Cricetulus griseus: one gene and its partners. The protein of the gene in region 3 interacts with the protein of the main gene of each other region in a biochemical or structural test. Links are inferred from orthologs where the notes say so. Each region holds a gene or a part of one and is shown on either strand. Other genes may lie near its edges. The genes, in order: Rgs19, Lrp2 and Gipc1.

Region 1 (5,630 bases), on a different chromosome or scaffold from region 3:
CTGGTCTGGGTGACTTGCTGTTCAATAGATCCCTTAGTCTGTGTAGTGCCAGATTGTAGTAAAGTAGAAAACTTCTACCATTTTTCTCTACTCCTGCCATTAGACACCCCCAAACCTTAAATGCCTTTCTGCCCAGGGCCAGTTGTTCCTTTATCCAAGTCTCTGGTCTGGACAGATCTCAATTGTATAAACCGGTATATGGTGAGTGCATGGGCACCATATGCATGCCGTTTGCTTGGCTCTTGCATATAGTATGCCCCAGCACACCAGGTTTAAGAGCCACACAAAGGGGTCTGAGAGATTGCTCAGTGTTTAAGAGCATTTGGTTCTCAGGACCTATATGTTGGCTCTCAACCATTTGTAACTCCAGTTCCAACACCTTCTGGCCTCTCCAGGTATGCATGTGGCACACATATTCAGGCAAAACATTCATACACACAAAGTTTAAGAGCCATATAAAGCCCCTTAGAGGATGTGGGCACTACTACCAGCCAACAGGGCTCTCAGCAATCTCTGGACAGGGTGATGCTGTGGCAGAGGCACCTGTCTACAAGTAGTTTCTTCTTAGCCTGTGGAGGGTCTAGGGAACAGGACTGGGTCTGAGTCCTAAAATCCACCCCATCCCACCCCTATATGCCTCAGTGCTTCTGTATCTCTTCTATGAGCTGCTCCCCAGGCCCATATACCATGTACCCCCAGGCCTATATACTCTGGTTTTGCCCTCTTTGAGCCATGTACCCCTGCCCAAATGCCCTGGGGTCTTCTTCCCAGTATAAGCTGCACCCTTAAGGTCCACATACCAGGAGCAGCTGCAGCAGCAGCACCAGCATAAGCAGCAGGGGTTGCGACTGGGGGGTCCTGAGGGGGCTGCATCATGGCTGGACATCGAGGGGGGCCTGTCCGCCTCCTCTGGTCCTGTGTGCTGAGGAAGAGGGGGCTGCCTCAACCTCCATTCCAGAATTCACTGGACCCTATGTCTGCCCATCTGCCCAACTGGCTGTGCCCCCAAGGGCCTCAGGTGTCCAGGAACCCAATTAGAGGGAGGAAGTGCCTACCTGTTTCTCCGCCTCATGTGGGGTGGGCATGTGTGGGTGGAGAGGGTTGCACAGATTCTGTGGTGCCAGCTCTGGACCTTCACTGCAGTCTGGGAGCTTGGATCTGAGAAGAGTGTTGGGAGTTCTGACTGAGGGCCTGTGACCTGGGCCCACCTTGTAACCTCTGCAACCACCTCAGGTCCCTCAGAGGGAGCTTGCTCAGAGCTCTACCCCAAGTCTGTGTGCTAACCCCATATGGAAGTGCCCCAGGCAATGATGGGGCTACTGCAGTTGGGCCTCCCACAAAGGGCTCTAAGATACCCCCATCTACTCAGTCCCCAAGAAGCCGGAAGCCTGGGTTCCTCTTTCTTGGCTTCCGGCTCCTGGCCCCTCCTAAGGGGACTGGAGCTACAGGCTGGTATGGAGATGGTAGGATACTCTGATGGCTCCCTCCCTCTAGGTAGGTGGGTAGACATGCTACCCAGATGACTGCAGAGGGCTAGGTCTGAGGCACCAGAGTACTTGAGTAGAATTCAGAACAAGACTTCCTGAAAGTGAGGAATGGAGGTGGGGGGTTACTCGAGAGATGTGTACTTAGGTAACAAGGCTCTTAGGTCCTTGGCTGCGTCAGACACCCCCACTTCACCCTGGTTTCCCTTTTTCTCCTGAGGATGCAGAAGCAGGGAGTGCTAGCCATGGAAGCTGGGGTGGCAATGTGGGAGGATCAGCTGCTTAGCTGGAGCCTTGGGCTCTTCAATGGGTTTTCATATGATTTATCATTCTTGATGTTTGGACCACACCTTCACAGGGGGTTCTAGGAACCTCTCAGGCCTCTGAAAGCTGACTTCAAATTCCAGTGTCCCCAGGAAAAACAGAAGCAAAGCATCCAATTAGCACCCTGGCAGCAGTTTTGAATGCCTCCTCTCTCCCCAGCCTGTGCCCATTTCTGACCAGGTGGAGGCTAGGCTATCCAGGCCTTAAGATCTCTGCTCTGCCCACCTTCCTCACATTAACCTGGGGCTCACGTTACTTTGTCGATGAAATCCACCCTCCTGTAGCCCTGAATCCAGCAGAGGGAGGCCCTTTATCCTCTTCTGCCTGAGGTCTGTACACTGAGGGCAGCCCCACCACCTGGCTCGATTTCTGAGATGGTGGGTTCCCAAGTCTCCCAGCGTGCAAACCAGGACACAAAAGTAGCTTGGGCTGTACTTCCCTGGGGTGGAGCTTCTAGGGAAAGGAAGGGGTGTAGTAGCCTAAGGTCTCTAGGCTCTCCAGAGTCATCACCCTGCAGACCATCCCTCAGATGCTCCATCTCCAACCAGCTGACTGGACAGGGAACAGCCTGGGGTGTGTGGGGCCTGGATGCTGGGGTCCAGTTTGTGCAGACGCAGGTGTCTGCCATTTTCCCCAGCTGCAGGCTCTTGTCCTGGCTCCTTGCACCCATCAAAGGTCGGTTGGGACCACCCATGTCGTCCAGAGTGCTCTTGACTACCGCCTCCCTTCTTTCTAGGGAAGGGGAGCCCAGCATCTGAATTAGGGTTTTCCTGCCCCATCTCCGGATACTGGATGGCTCATTCCCTCCCCAAGCCTCCCAGGCGTTGGCCTCCCAAGTCTATGCTGAGACCAAATGCAGCAAATCTGGTCTCTGGGGACAGAAGCTCCCTGGGGAATGGCTGCCGTGTTGCTCCACAGAAGAAAATGTTCAAGCCCGACCAGTCCAAAAAAAAAAAAAAAAAAAAAAAAAAAAAAAAAAAAAAGAAAGAAAAGAAAAGAACCTTTGGGGGGGGGTAACAGGGGTTCCATTCCCACTTCCATCCCACACTGTCATTGTCCTACCTGTACCTCCATGGCGGGCCAGACCTCTCTCACCATGGCGAACCCCGCTGCCCAAGCCCACCTGTGGGATGGTAGGCCCCCACCCAGTTACTGCTTTCTGCTGGTGGGGTCGTCTGGAGGGCTGGTCTCTTCTTCGCGGTCCCTCTCGCAGTCTCTGACGCCCCCACCCCTTTCTTAAGGAATTCGCCATGAGGCCCCACTCACCAGCGACCTAAAGGCGGATGGGGGCGGGAGGGCCAGGTTCGGTCTGGGCCCCACCCTGGCTGCCGAAGGGGCGTGCTCTAAAGCAGCAGGGACTTAAGTCAGACAGCAAGATGTACTCCTGGGTATTCGCGAGATAGGAAGGCGCACAGAATCCCTCTCGGGTGGGGCTGTGGAGGGGGCGCAACATTCACCCCTAAGGCTCGCCGGGCCGAGTGGCTAGTGGACCCAACTCGAAGGGTGGGTAAGGTGGTGGATCGGTGTCTGGCCTGGCCCCTCCCCACTAGGCTAGCGGGCGGGAGACACGGAAACCTGGGTTCTTCCGGCCCCCACCTTTAGCAATTACTTCTCAAAGCTCTGAGCTGAAGAAAAAGGGGAACCTTGCTGCGGCTCTCCCTCCCCCACGCGCAGGGGGTGGGCTCCGGTCCCACCGCGACCCAGGTCCACGTGGGCTGGTCGCTGAAGTCCGGGAACAGAGCCGGCATCTACATCTCCGGGGCCCGCCCGCGGTCCAGCGCCGCACTCACCGCAGAGTCCCCGAGTCACAGCGCCCGCGCGATCCGAAGTCCTGCTTGTCGCCGGGGAGGGGGCGCAGGCGCAGTGCGCAGGCGCCTCCACGGTACTTCCCCAAAGAGAGGGGCCGGGACTTCCTCGAGCCCCAGCGCCTGCTCGCCCGCAGTGCCCCGCCCCGCGCCCGCTCCCGCGCCCCACCCGCGCTGGCGTGTCGTCCTGCGGTAGCGTGGCATGGTGACCCTGAGGGGTGAGTCGTACACAGACAGTGGATTGAGCCGGCGCTCCGTCTGGTTAGCTAGGTTTTCCCAGCCTTTCCTTTCTGTGGTAGTGCAGTGTGGGGCACCAGAGCTGAGCCCAGTGTGCTTCTTGGCAGGATGAGAAGAGGCCTTTGGGAAGGACTGGCCTGTTGTACTGCCCTGTCCGCCCCACCCCTTCGCATTTCTGAGTCTGGTCTGTCACTCTGCTGTCCACAGAGAAAGGGAGATTCAGGAACTGCAGCTTGGTGGGCACTGTGAATGCAGGTTCTTATATCAAATTACCCCGAAAGTTTCTGGGGCCTAGTTGAGTCCCTCCCTATTGACCCCTCAAATTGCTCCAAGATAGCCTTTTCTGCAAATGGCCTTACTCTTTGGCCAGCTCTTCAGATCCTTTATTATTGGGTGCAGATTTGAATTAGCTCATTATCCCAGCATGCTCTGGGCAAGTGTCCAGGGGCCCTGACCCTACTTTAGACTTGGTTTGTAGGGTGTGTGTGGTTGCTTGGGCCATGCGGTTCCTGCCCTTCTTAGCACTGGAACACAGCCTAACCAGTTCAGGTGCTAGGGTCTTGCAAAAAAAAAAAAAAAAAAAAAAACTTTTTAATCGCACAGGTTGTATATGCTGACCACAGAAGTTAGAGGTGCAAAGCAAATACCCACTCTTGAGGCAGCGGGTCCCAGGCAGACAGACTGACCTGGAGCTAACTGCAGTGGACTAGAATGGGAGACAGGCCCAAAAGGGATGGGGTGAGAGGTGAGGAGGGCAGGATGTTGCCATGATGTTCAGGGAGTCTGGATGAAGAGAGAACATTGGTTGAGAGCCTGAGGCTACCAGGCTTTCTCTAATGCTGTGTGGGGCTTGATGAAAAAAGCCAGAACCCTTTAGCTGCCACCTGATGGATTCCAAAGCAAGGTAGAGGCTAAGAAGCCCATCTAAACAGTAGTAGTTGCTTTAGATAATAGTCCTGAGAAGTGGACACAGTTTAGAATAAGGAGGCCCAGTAGAAATGGGTCAATACCAGGTGGAGACAACAAAACAAAGCTGATTCTGCAGTATTTGGTGTGGGCAACTGGCTGTGGGTAGAAGTCAGTATGCGTTCTTCCCCTCAGTTCATTTTACATGCCTACCCACTTGTTCTCTGCTACCTTACATCTGTTCTATACTCAATTAGCATCTTTAAGCACAGAGAATGCCCCTAAATCTAGGCAGGAGACCAGGAGCACTGAGCAAGTGACACTAGTGAGGATGGAACTTTAACACAATTTACCCTTTTCTAGAGCAGGACCCCTACTCCCAGCCCCACCCCCCACCCCGGCACCAGCCACTCATAAGCCCCACTTAACTGTGCATGGGCCACAGGCTTTGTATCCTCGTTGGATTTTCTTCAGACAGAGGGATCCTGTGCCACCTTCCTTAGCCTACTCTGTAAACCCAATCCCTCACTGATGTGGAGATCAAGTGGCACTCTTAAGCTGGTCTGACACTTGGTGTAGAGCTCTTTTGCCATTGTTATGCTGGCCTTCTCAGGATGTTGGTGTGTGTGTCCTCAGCCCTCTGCTCTGAGGTACTTATCTGAATTACTCACTATGTGGGACACTGCGGTAATCTTAGACATCTCTGTGATCACCATGAAGAAATGCAGGGTTGGAAAAGTGACTTTACTAAATAGATGAAGTTTTTCTAGGCTCTTGGCAAATCCTTGGCAAGCTCCTCTACAAGGAGCTTGACCAGAGGAGCCCAGCATTGGCTATCATCTGGTGTAATTGACTGTCATTAGAAGACTACAAT
Region 2 (4,877 bases), on a different chromosome or scaffold from region 3:
ACCCTGGCAGGCAAGTATATCCCCCACTGGCAGGCAATGTAATTCTCTATACTCTTCATTCCCACTGTTGACCATAATTTTAGATAAAAGATATTCTAATCACATACTAGCAACCAAGTGCTTAGTAAACATGACCAGTCACACAAACACAGTGAACAGGGTCCTCTTTGAATATTGTGGCCAGGTATGGTGTCATACACCATTAATACCAGCAGAGACAGGCAAATCTCTGTGGGTCTGAAGCCAGCCAGGGCTACATGGTAAGACTGTATCTCAAAAGATAAATGGATAAATAAATAAAAAATAAATGAGCAATCTGAGGACTGCCTAAAAGAGAAAAGACTTTTTTTAAAAAATAGGCTTAATGCTTAATTCTATTTTTGTAAAATTCCATGTAATTCTTTCTTAAACCTAAATGACCCTGGCTATATGCATTACAGGGAAGATAATATACTCCCTTTTTTTGCATTTTACATCCACTATTTTGTTTCTTCTTAAACTTGTATGTGTTTGTATACACTCCTCCTTTTATTTCATGTGAAAATACCAGATGAAATTTCATCTCTGCTCCATGATGCACTATCAAGGAGCAGGTAAGAGTTTTTCAAGATCCAAACATTTTTGCTCTTAAAAAAGCTATTTTTGAGCCAGGCAGTGGTGGCACACACCTTTAGTCCCAGAACTGGGGAGGTAAGGTAAGGCAGATCTATGAGTTCAAGGACAGCCTGGTTCCAGGACAGCCATGGAGAAACCCAGTCTTGAAAAACCAAAATCAAAACAAAACACAAAAGCTATTTTTGAAAGAAACATTTCTATCATATAATATTAAAGTATACCAATACTGAATTTGAAAGAAATCTAGTCACTGACAAATACTGAAGGCTATTTGCTGTAGCTACTTAGAAAAAGGAGGCACAGGTCAAGTCTAAAGGTGGCATGGGCTGTTAGTCCAGACTAATGAAAAGCATGTTGTCTGTCTCTTCTCCCAGTTTCTCTTAATACAGAGCAATAGTAAGCCTTTGCCAAGCAAATCTTAATTTCTGACTTCTGTGCAGTACAGGTCATCTTCCTGCTCAGATTGTGTCCTTGGGACACCTATCTCCTTCTTACTCATTTCTGACATAGTTCCCTGTGTCTGTCATAGAACCCTGTGTCTCCTGCATCTCTAATAGACTCATACCCCTTGCTAAGACTGATTCAGAATGACTGAGCACAGAGAACACCCCCAGCAAAGTCTCTGCTAAGACACAGTGCTCTAACTTTTTGCAGGGCTGTAAACTAGGGCAGCTTCATGACTGTGGACAGGGAATCTGAGATGAAGGTCACTGTGTTTCATCCCTTTAGGAGGGCAGGTTAGAGGCAAACATTCTGAACACGGGAAGATTCAATGGCAACAAAGGCAGAAAGACATCTCACCTGAGCTGCCAGGGCTGCTTTGGAAGTGCTGTCCTTAGCTGCATATGTTGGATTCTCAAATACCACAGGCTGCTTCCCCACCTCCATGATGAAGTTTTCGTTCTGGTGGGGAGGAGACAGAGAGGTCACACCCACTGATACCAGACAGAAAGGTGTCTCCCTCATACCTGGATGCCTACCACACTTTCACAAAGTCACCCAAATAGGAGGTCTTAGAGAGGCTGGGGGAAAGATAGCAGCAGCAGAGACCCATTGTAGCAACCCACTGTTTCAGCTAATAAATAATGAGCCACGCCATTTGCCCTGGAAAACACAAATACTCTTTCCACAGCTGAATTCTCTATGGTTCTCTAACGTATGTAACCCACTGTGGTCAGAACAGTGGAGAAAAGGATGCGTGGTAGAAAAGGACAGGAAGGTAGGCAACCGGGGAATATTGTTCTTTCAGGCAGGTGTGGGGATGGAAGATTGGAGGTGGAGACAAAGCATTAGGAGTGGGTTTTCAGATTACAGAAAGGCCCTGCTGGGCCACAGCTGTGCTAGGCTCATCCCTGAGTGTGCCACCTGCTGCTCATAAGCGGCAGGCACGTCCCTATTCTACACAAGAGGCCAGAAGGACCAGAAAAGGTCAGCCCTTGACTATCTATAAATAAATACTTAGATGGTAGAGTCATAGTTTCCACCAACTCTATATGGCCTACAGAGGACAGACTGTGTTTCTTTATTTTAATATCCCCCAGGGTTAGTTTTGTTCCTTATAAGAAGGGTTTCTTCCATAAGTTACTGTAAAGGAAAACTTCAAATAGTCACATGGAAGACCCACTCACCATTGCCATTGATCTATCAATAACTGTCTCCGGGCCAAAAGGAGAAACACCAATGTCCATGCTAACATCAGCCCCTGATCTGAAAGTCACCCCATTTCCATTTTCAGAGGGTTTCGCAAGGCTGCTTAAACTGGAATGAACCAAAACAATGTTGTGTTAGTCGGGTGGTGGTGGCACATGCCTTTAATCCCAGTGCTTAGGAGGCAGGGGCAGGTGGATCTCTATGAGACCAGCCTGGTCTACAAGAGCTACTTCCAGGACAGCCTCCAAAGCCACAGAGAAAGCCTGTCTCAAAAAAAACAAACGAACAAAAGATATGTTGTGTACACATGTCAAAAACACAGCAGCGCTGGGCTGCTGTTTTTAATCCCAGCACTCGGGAGGCAGAGACAGGCAGATCTCTGTGAATTCGAGGCCAGCCTTTCTACAGAGAAAGAGCCAGGACAGGCTCCAAAGCTACACAGAGAAACCCTGTCTCGAAAAACCAAAAAACACTGCAGCAAGCCCAACCCTCACCACCACCCCCACCCCCGTCTACCTGAACACACAAAAGCACAATCCCAGATACAACATCAGAACAAGAAACAGAGGTCACTTGTAGAAAGCCAAGCCAACACACAGAAACTGACCTTGGCAGCTTGGGCAGAGTGGGTAAAAGGGTGCCAGTTTTTCTGTAGTGAAAAAATCCAAGGAGTATCAGAGCCCCAATGATGATGATGATCAGGAATGTCAACAGCACAGCCATTGCTGCACAGGGGACAGAAACAGAGAGTCAACATCACCACATGACCAGGAGGGCTAGAGCGGCTAGAGCCCATGAGCCTGGGGCAAAAGGAAGATGGAGGGCCGTGACTATTGCAGGTCACCCATATTCTGGACACTTACTTGTCCCTGGAGGGATGCCTCTTGAGAGCCCAACCTCACAGTATTCTCCGTTGTAGCCACTAGAACACCTAGAAGCAAGAGGAGACTACTTAGTCACCTTCTAGAGGCTCCTAGTGCTGTGGCCAGTGAAATGCATGAGGAACAGGCGATGCAGCCGGCATCACAGCTGCTTCTCCTGCCAGCCTAAAAGCACTGCTCTGTCCGATTCCAGAAATTCACTTATGGTGGAGTGGCATCTATGAGGGTCAGCCTCACAAATAAGGCTTCTTTGCACTTCTTCCTTAGAGAGAATTGATAGGCACGGTGGCAGCATTCCATCCTCCAACAGCTTTCGGGAAAGCGACCATTCCTCTTGTTCTGTGGTGAAGGTTTCCCACAGGCTAGTCTGCTTGTCATAAGCCTTGTATTGAAGCATCTATCTCTCCTGTCAGTTGCCCTTCCGTGCTCCTTCCTAAGCCATCATCCCAGGTGAGGTGGGAGGTGGCATAGGGAGACACACTGCTATCCTTTCTTTCACTCCTTGCCCTTCCTTGTGACTCTGCCATTCCATTCAAATGCACATAGGCATTTGAGCCAGATCCTCAGCCAAGGCTTATGCCAGGTACGGTTTGGGAAACATGGCCTCACCTTCTGCAGACTCCCCCAAAGGAGGACAAGCTGGTTAGACATGGAAACGGAAACGGTGAATTGGGCAAGCTTCCTGCACTTGTTTCCCCAGCTATAAAGAGCTCGGGTTCCCTAGAAGAGCCAAGGCCTACAACTGGGACCTCAAGAGTCAGACTTACTTGCATTTGGGGAGGTCATTCTCATCAAAATAGCAATTTCCTCCGTGCATGCATCTGCATGGGGGAGGCATGATGACGGGAAGTTCGATGGCTGCAGAAAGGAAGAGCCATGCATGGGTTAGTCAGCCACAGGCAAGCAGAGCACTACACCATGCAAAACCTGCCCAGGACTGAGGCGGGAGGGGTAAAGGGGATGTCGGGCCTCCCTGCTGAGTTATCACCTGTTCCCAAAGGCAAATGAACTTCCTAAACAATGGTGAGATCCTGGGGAGTGATAGATAGAAACTTCAGAGTACTTTCTTCCTCTAAGCAGTGAGGTTAAACCCAGAGTATATATTGTGTCACCCGAAATCCCCCAGATTCTCTTCTGGGAACCATTAGAACCAAGAGTTTCATTTAGACACAGCTTGAAACTGCAACCCAGGACTCCAGATCATCAGCAGAGGACCAGGCAAGTGGCAGACACACAGACACAGATAGATGGGAAAGCAGCTGAGGGAAATCTAGCCACTGGATTACTGCACCTGATTCACCCCCGGCATACCACCTGGATGATTTCTTTACCACATGTGTGCTTTATTTGATGAGTTTGTCTACTGTCTCTACTCAGAGTTCCTTTCATCAGAGAGGCTAGGCAAGCCAATCATGCCCGCCCTGTGCCTACTGCATGTACTTTAGCCACCTGTCCTATTACATACTTACAGGGTTCCTGGCTTATTATCCTACTAGCAAGTAAGCTCAATGAGAGAAGGGATTTGCCTGTTTTACTCACTTCTCTCATCTCTGGAACTTTCAGTCACACCTGGTACAGAGTCGACACCCAATAAATGCCATTGAACTAACTGATATGTTCATTAACAATAGGTCACATCAAGACCCTGTATATGCAACATCTGTTAATAGTCGTTAACAGGCTTACTTTGGATAAAGCTCTTTTAAATGACAATCTCAGAGTGTTTGTGTT
Region 3 (5,493 bases):
CCACCCCTTTTGTGCTGGGAATTGAACTCAGGGCCTCAAATATGCTGGGCAAGGGCTCTACCACTAAGTTATATCCCATACCCCCAGCCCCACTTTGCATGAGCTCTCCAGTTAGGCTAGCCGGCCCCATAGGCCTTCCTGTTTATGTCCCCAGTGCTGGGGTGACAGCTGCAAGCCACCATGCCTAGCATTTTCACATGGGTTCTGACAGTCAAACTCAGCTGGCACAGCAAGCACTTTACCAAGTGCGCCATCTCCATGGTCTACATGGCCCTGCATTGTTTTCTTTTGCTCTGCTTTTTCAAGGAGGGTCTGTCTCCCTGCACAATACAGAATAAGCCTCACACTCAAGATCCTCCTGCCTCTACCTCCCATGTCCTGGGATAACAGGCCTCTTTACACCTGGCTGATTCAGCCTTACTTGGATGGTCTTTTTCTTATTGATTTGTGAGAACTCTTTATATATTCTGGGCACTTGTCTTTTACTGGTTCTTTCATCTGTCTGTCCATAGCTCTGTATCCCAGTATACTACAGACACTCACTGGCTATTTCACAGAAGTAAACTGAAATGAATTACATGGAATTGTATGCCACCACACTCAATAGAGAACAGGAGCAATAGCACCTCCTTGGTACACACTCTTTTGATCACCATTCCTTGTTCTATATTTGTTTTAAGTTTACTCTGTAGTCCCTGGCTGTCCTGGAACTTACTCTGTAGTCCAGGCTGGCCTCAAACTCAGAGATCTGCCTGAATGCTGGGATCAAAGGCGTGTGCCACCACTGCCCAGTTTAGGCCAAATATCTTAACTCGTCTGATCAAAAAGGAAACCATGTATATGCCTGGATTGCTCCTGGAACACTATTGGGGGTGTGTGAGTGCATGTGTGTGCCTGGGACAGTCCCCGCAATACTATTGGGGTGTGTGCTGATACACTGTCTTTCCTCACTGTCCTGCACCGCATACCCTGTTCCCCAGCCTCCTTTCTGTCTCTGTACATATTCACTGCTGTGGTTTAGTCCAGCTTTTGTGTGCCCTCTGGTGAGAGACCCAAGGCACTGAGGAAAATGAGTGACTAATAAACCAATGATGCAGACCCTGAGACACATGGCCTGGATGATGGCCTGGATTCAAGTTCCACCCTTGCTACTCACCAGTGGCACAGACAAAGCCAAGTTGCTTAGCTTCATGAGGCCGCAGTTTTATCTCCTGAGAATCTGGCAGAGTTTATGTCTGTTGGGTACTTACGGAATCTCATCAGAAAGTGTTGGACGTGTTATTATTTGCAGTGATGGAGACAGAAACTAGAATCTTTCATTGCTTGGAAGGCACTCTGCTGCCGACCCACACCTCCCCCACAGGTTCGGGGCAGGGGCTGTACTGCTGACCTGCACCTCCAAACTTCTTCAGTCTTTATTCTGGTCACATCCTTCCTTCCCTGGCCTAGAAGCATCCCAGTTCCTATGCTGGCAAGGCCTATTCCAGACTTCTCCAGGCAGCTGGCTTGCCCAGCCCGCACACAGGAGCTGCACCACAGTACTAGGGTCTATGAACTTGCTGTGTGCTACCCTGACAGAGCTTGTCTCTCAATGTCCCGGCTGCTATTTATCTTGCATCTTCATTTTTAAAATTTATTTTATTTTAATTTTATGTGTATGAGAGCTTTGCTTCATGTCTGCCTGTGCATCACTTGGGTGCCTGAAGAGGTCAAAAGGAACTAGTTAGAGATGGTTGTGACCCACCATGTGGGGGCTGGGAATGGAACTCCCAGCATGCAGTCTGTGAGCTGTCTTTCCAGCCTGTGTCTCTATTTTAAAATGCAAACCATCTCCTATCTCACAAAGGAATCTCACCGTATAGGGGAAAACTCGACAATAAAAAAATGTGTTTTCTGTACCAGGTACTCAATCACATCTATAGCTTCATTCCCTGTTCCAGCTATTCTATACTTCACTCTGCCTTGGGGTGTGTGTGTGTGTGATCTCCCCCTGCCCAGTGATCTCTGAGAGGTCACTCAGCACTTAGAAGGATCTGCAGTGGCTGCCCATGTTAACTTGTTGCCTGTTCCCCACTAGAATGCAGGGAATTCTGTCCTGCATTTGGAGGACACTTCCCTCCAAGCAAAACATGGTGCCTGGCACAGTGGCTGCTTAGCACTTGCAGGTGAACTGTAGAGTGAATGTCCTATAACCCTGCTTGTGAACCAAACCCCACCAACATGACTGCTAGAGAGCTACGAGCTCCTCCCCGCTGTCTGCAAGGAGCTGAAGGGAAGTGGGTTGGATGGATTTCCGGAGTTCAGCGCTCTCATCCCAAGAAGGGCCAGAAACTTAGCAACCCTGCAGTCACAGAAACGCTAAGTGGGAGGTGCAGGAAGCAGGGAGGGGGACTCCTGGGGCTCAGATAACTCCCAGTTTAGGGGACACCACACCTGTCGTCCCTCGCTCCTAACCCCCAGCACAGTACTACTTTGGGGAGGAGGGGAGGAGGCCTCTGATTCATTCTTGAAAAACCGGATCCTAAAGGTTTCATCTCTCCAGTGTTTCCGGGGCGAGTGGACGCACCTCTTGCCCCGCTCCCCCGCCCCGGCCTCTACACTCACTCTCGCTCATTTCTCTTCGCAGTAAGTAGACAGGGTGGGTGGAGGGGGAATGGGATTAAAGGGCCCACGTCAGGCCTTGCCTGGCCAGCTCAAGAGAAGGGACACGAGGGCAACTTGGAAGCTGTTTAGTGACCCGTGGGCTCGGGGAAGCAAAACCCAGCAGGTGCGGCTCCGAAGGGAATATGGGGGCGGCCGTGTGCAGTGAGTCCGGTGGCTGGCTGGTCAGGGACGACTTCTGGGACTAGTTTCTGGACTCAAGGCATGGGTCCCTCATCCCCACCGGCCACTTACTAGCTGTGTGACCTTGAGTGAGTCACTCCACCTCTCTGGCCCTGATCCCTCACTTCTAAAAGAAGTTAACAGCCCCTCCCAGGAGGCTGTTTTGATTCAATGTTGTGCACTGTAAGCGTCTGACGAGGAAGCGCTGGGTCCGGGCTAGCGAGGCGGGGGTGGGGGGTGGTCCGCACTATTACTGCGGTTGTTATTGTCTTCCGGACTCGGCGGCCTCGGTGCCCCCGCGGCCAGCTTTTGGGCAGGGGCCCGGGAGGGGTCGGGACCCATCACCAACAGGGAGCGTCCCGGGAGCAGAGGGCAGGGGCGGACCGGAGGCCCCGGCCGGAGGGGAAGGGTCCGTGTTTGGGGTCCCGACGCGGCCAGCCCCACCCCGCCGCCACGGCTCCACGCCCGGGAGGCCGCCCCTGGCCGGGGAACACTCACCTGCGCCGCAGCCACCCCGCGCGCCCAGTTCGATCCTCTGGAAACTCGGCCCGGCTTCTCCCTCGGCCTCCCGTACCTGGGCGGGGCCGGCGTCCCGAGCGGACCAATCAGCGGCGGCCTCCCATACTGGCGGCCAATGGGTGCCTCCCGTCGGAACGCTCTGAGGGATCCCTCCGCCGCACCTCGGTCTCCCCCCTGTACGCGCAGTGGTCCGACCTTACTCGTTCTAAATGGCGGCGGGCTGAACCATTGAGGGGCTGCGCGGGTGAGAGGACGGGGAGCTGGGCGGGAGCTGGCAGTAAGAGTCAGATGACCGGGTTTGGAGGACTGCGCTCGGCATCCAGGAAAGCGGGCTCGTTGGGAGGTCAGAGAGGCGGCCGAGAGCACACCCTCGCTCAGCTTCCCTCCCAGAAAGATGCTTTGACTCCAGGGGGTGGGCCATAGTGAATAGGGAGGGTCCCGGGTGTCTCTGCTTTTTCCACTCTACACAATAGACAAAGCAACCGTGCATTCATTCAGTCTTTCAATCTTTAAGTGCCCCTGCCTGGTACCAGGCTCGGTCCTGGCTCTACAGACACATGAATGGAGATACAGGGTGTGCAAAGGCTCCGAAGCTGCACAGAGAGCCACAGAGCACTTTGCTAGTAAAGCTGTGTAAGAATACACGATGGAGAATGTTTAAACAGTCGGCTTGTCAGTTCAGTACTGTGCAGAATCATAGATGGTGACCAACCAGTGCAGGTTTCCTCCTCCTCCTCCTCCTCCTCCTCCTCCTCCTCCTCTCCTCCTCCTCCTCTCCTCCCCTCCTCCCCTCCTCCTCCTCCCCTCCTCCTCCTCCTCCGCCGCCTCCTCCTCCTCCACTTCCTCCTCCTCCTTCTCCCCTTCCTCCTCCCTCATAGAAATGTATGATGGGGAAAAGGGTAGATTATTGAATCTCCTTAACCCCCAAACAACTGCTAATCCCAAAATACTTACATTGTTATATATTTTACTTTCTTGATATAAACTTAAGGTTAATTTTGTTATGCTATATTTATATTTCTACTCTTGTTTATGATACTATGTTTATGCAGTTTATAATAGTCAAACTTAATGTTATGTTAGGTTTAGCTAGATATACAGAGATATATTTTTAGATGGGTTGGTAATCTTCAAACACTTCAAAGACCTACAGAATATGACATTTAAAATGTTTTGATAATTTAAAATTCTTTTGACATGAGACACATCTGCTCCTGGCAGCTGATCTACTCCTGAGAGGATGATGGGCACTGAAGTCACTCCATATGGAGTTTGTTTCCCTTTTAGCAAAACTGGCCTATTGGGTAAAGAGCTGCCCTTGCCTGGACTGCTGACAGTAAGTATGCTGTCCAATCCAGACAAACAGGACACAAGAAAAAGTGACTGCTGAACCTTGCCAAGAAAGGTTAGGAGAGTCCTTCAGATTTTCTTGCTTCTGACAATGGAAAATGATATGTCAGATATTCTAGGCCTATAAGCCAAAATTGGATGCCCCAACATCACCAAAAAAAAAAAAAAACCAAAAAACCAAAAAACAAAACCTGAGGTGACTGTCCAGAAAGCCAGCTGTTTCTGTCATTTCCTGTATCTTTAAGAAGTCGCTTGCTTGCCCTTATTCAGGTAATATTATTCCTTCTCAGGTCTTTGATGGAGTTGAAGATAGATAATTATAGTTATAGTTTTTCTTAGTTATAATAATAGATAAATGGCTGGGAGGTAGTGGCACACGCCTTCAGTCCCAGTACTTATGAGGCAGAGGCAAATGGATCTCTGTGAGTTTGAGGCCAGCCTGATCTACAAAGTGAGTTCCAGGACAGGAGCTACTCAGAGAAACCCTGTCCTTTGCTTTTCAGCAATCAAAAAATTCAAAATAAACATAATAGCTAACCACAACATGAATGTTACCTTGGCTTGAAGTTTTTCCTGCTAAGCACATTAGATAATTTCATTTTAATTATGTCTGGGAAAGCACAAAGCAAGGCAAGGCCATATCCAGATTCAGGGTACACCCAGGACAGCTCTCAGCATATCCTTTCACCAGACTGGATTCTATAGCTATGTTCTGACATCCAAGAACAATACAAGGAACAAAATACTTGAGGTAATAAGTCCTCTGCCTTTTCTTCTGGAGCCCAAGGCAATGTCCACCAT

Evidence for each region.
Region 1: the proteins of Gipc1 (region 3) and Rgs19 form a complex in vitro, tested with the Homo sapiens proteins (2 studies listed by BioGRID). The link is inferred for Cricetulus griseus from reciprocal best matches to the Homo sapiens genes GIPC1 and RGS19.
Region 2: the proteins of Gipc1 (region 3) and Lrp2 form a complex in vitro, tested with the Homo sapiens proteins (2 studies listed by BioGRID). The link is inferred for Cricetulus griseus from reciprocal best matches to the Homo sapiens genes GIPC1 and LRP2.

The regions. Positions count from the first base shown.
Region 1 is NC_048599.1:214,387-220,016, reverse strand, and holds the start of Rgs19 (regulator of G-protein signaling 19), read right to left. Parts: upstream 3,755-5,630; 5' UTR 3,599-3,754; intron 3,571-3,598; exon of another isoform or gene 3,405-3,570; intron 3,242-3,404; exon of another isoform or gene 3,075-3,241; intron 2,932-3,074; exon of another isoform or gene 2,871-2,931; intron 2,541-2,870; exon of another isoform or gene 1,835-2,540; intron 1,159-1,834; 5' UTR 1,086-1,158; coding exon 1,056-1,085; intron 923-1,055; coding exon 801-922; intron 1-800. UniProt on the Homo sapiens protein: Inhibits signal transduction by increasing the GTPase activity of G protein alpha subunits thereby driving them into their inactive GDP-bound form. Binds to G-alpha subfamily 1 members, with the order G(i)a3 > G(i)a1 > G(o)a >> G(z)a/G(i)a2.
Region 2 is NC_048599.1:105,763,826-105,768,702, reverse strand, and holds part of Lrp2 (low-density lipoprotein receptor-related protein 2), read right to left. Parts: intron 4,005-4,877; coding exon 3,914-4,004; intron 3,197-3,913; coding exon 3,129-3,196; intron 2,991-3,128; coding exon 2,873-2,990; intron 2,374-2,872; coding exon 2,244-2,373; intron 1,519-2,243; coding exon 1,417-1,518; intron 1-1,416. UniProt on the Homo sapiens protein: Multiligand endocytic receptor. Acts together with CUBN to mediate endocytosis of high-density lipoproteins. Mediates receptor-mediated uptake of polybasic drugs such as aprotinin, aminoglycosides and polymyxin B.
Region 3 is NC_048596.1:160,760,900-160,766,392, forward strand, and holds the start of Gipc1 (PDZ domain-containing protein GIPC1), read right to left. Parts: upstream 3,448-5,493; 5' UTR 3,322-3,447; intron 1-3,321. UniProt on the Homo sapiens protein: May be involved in G protein-linked signaling.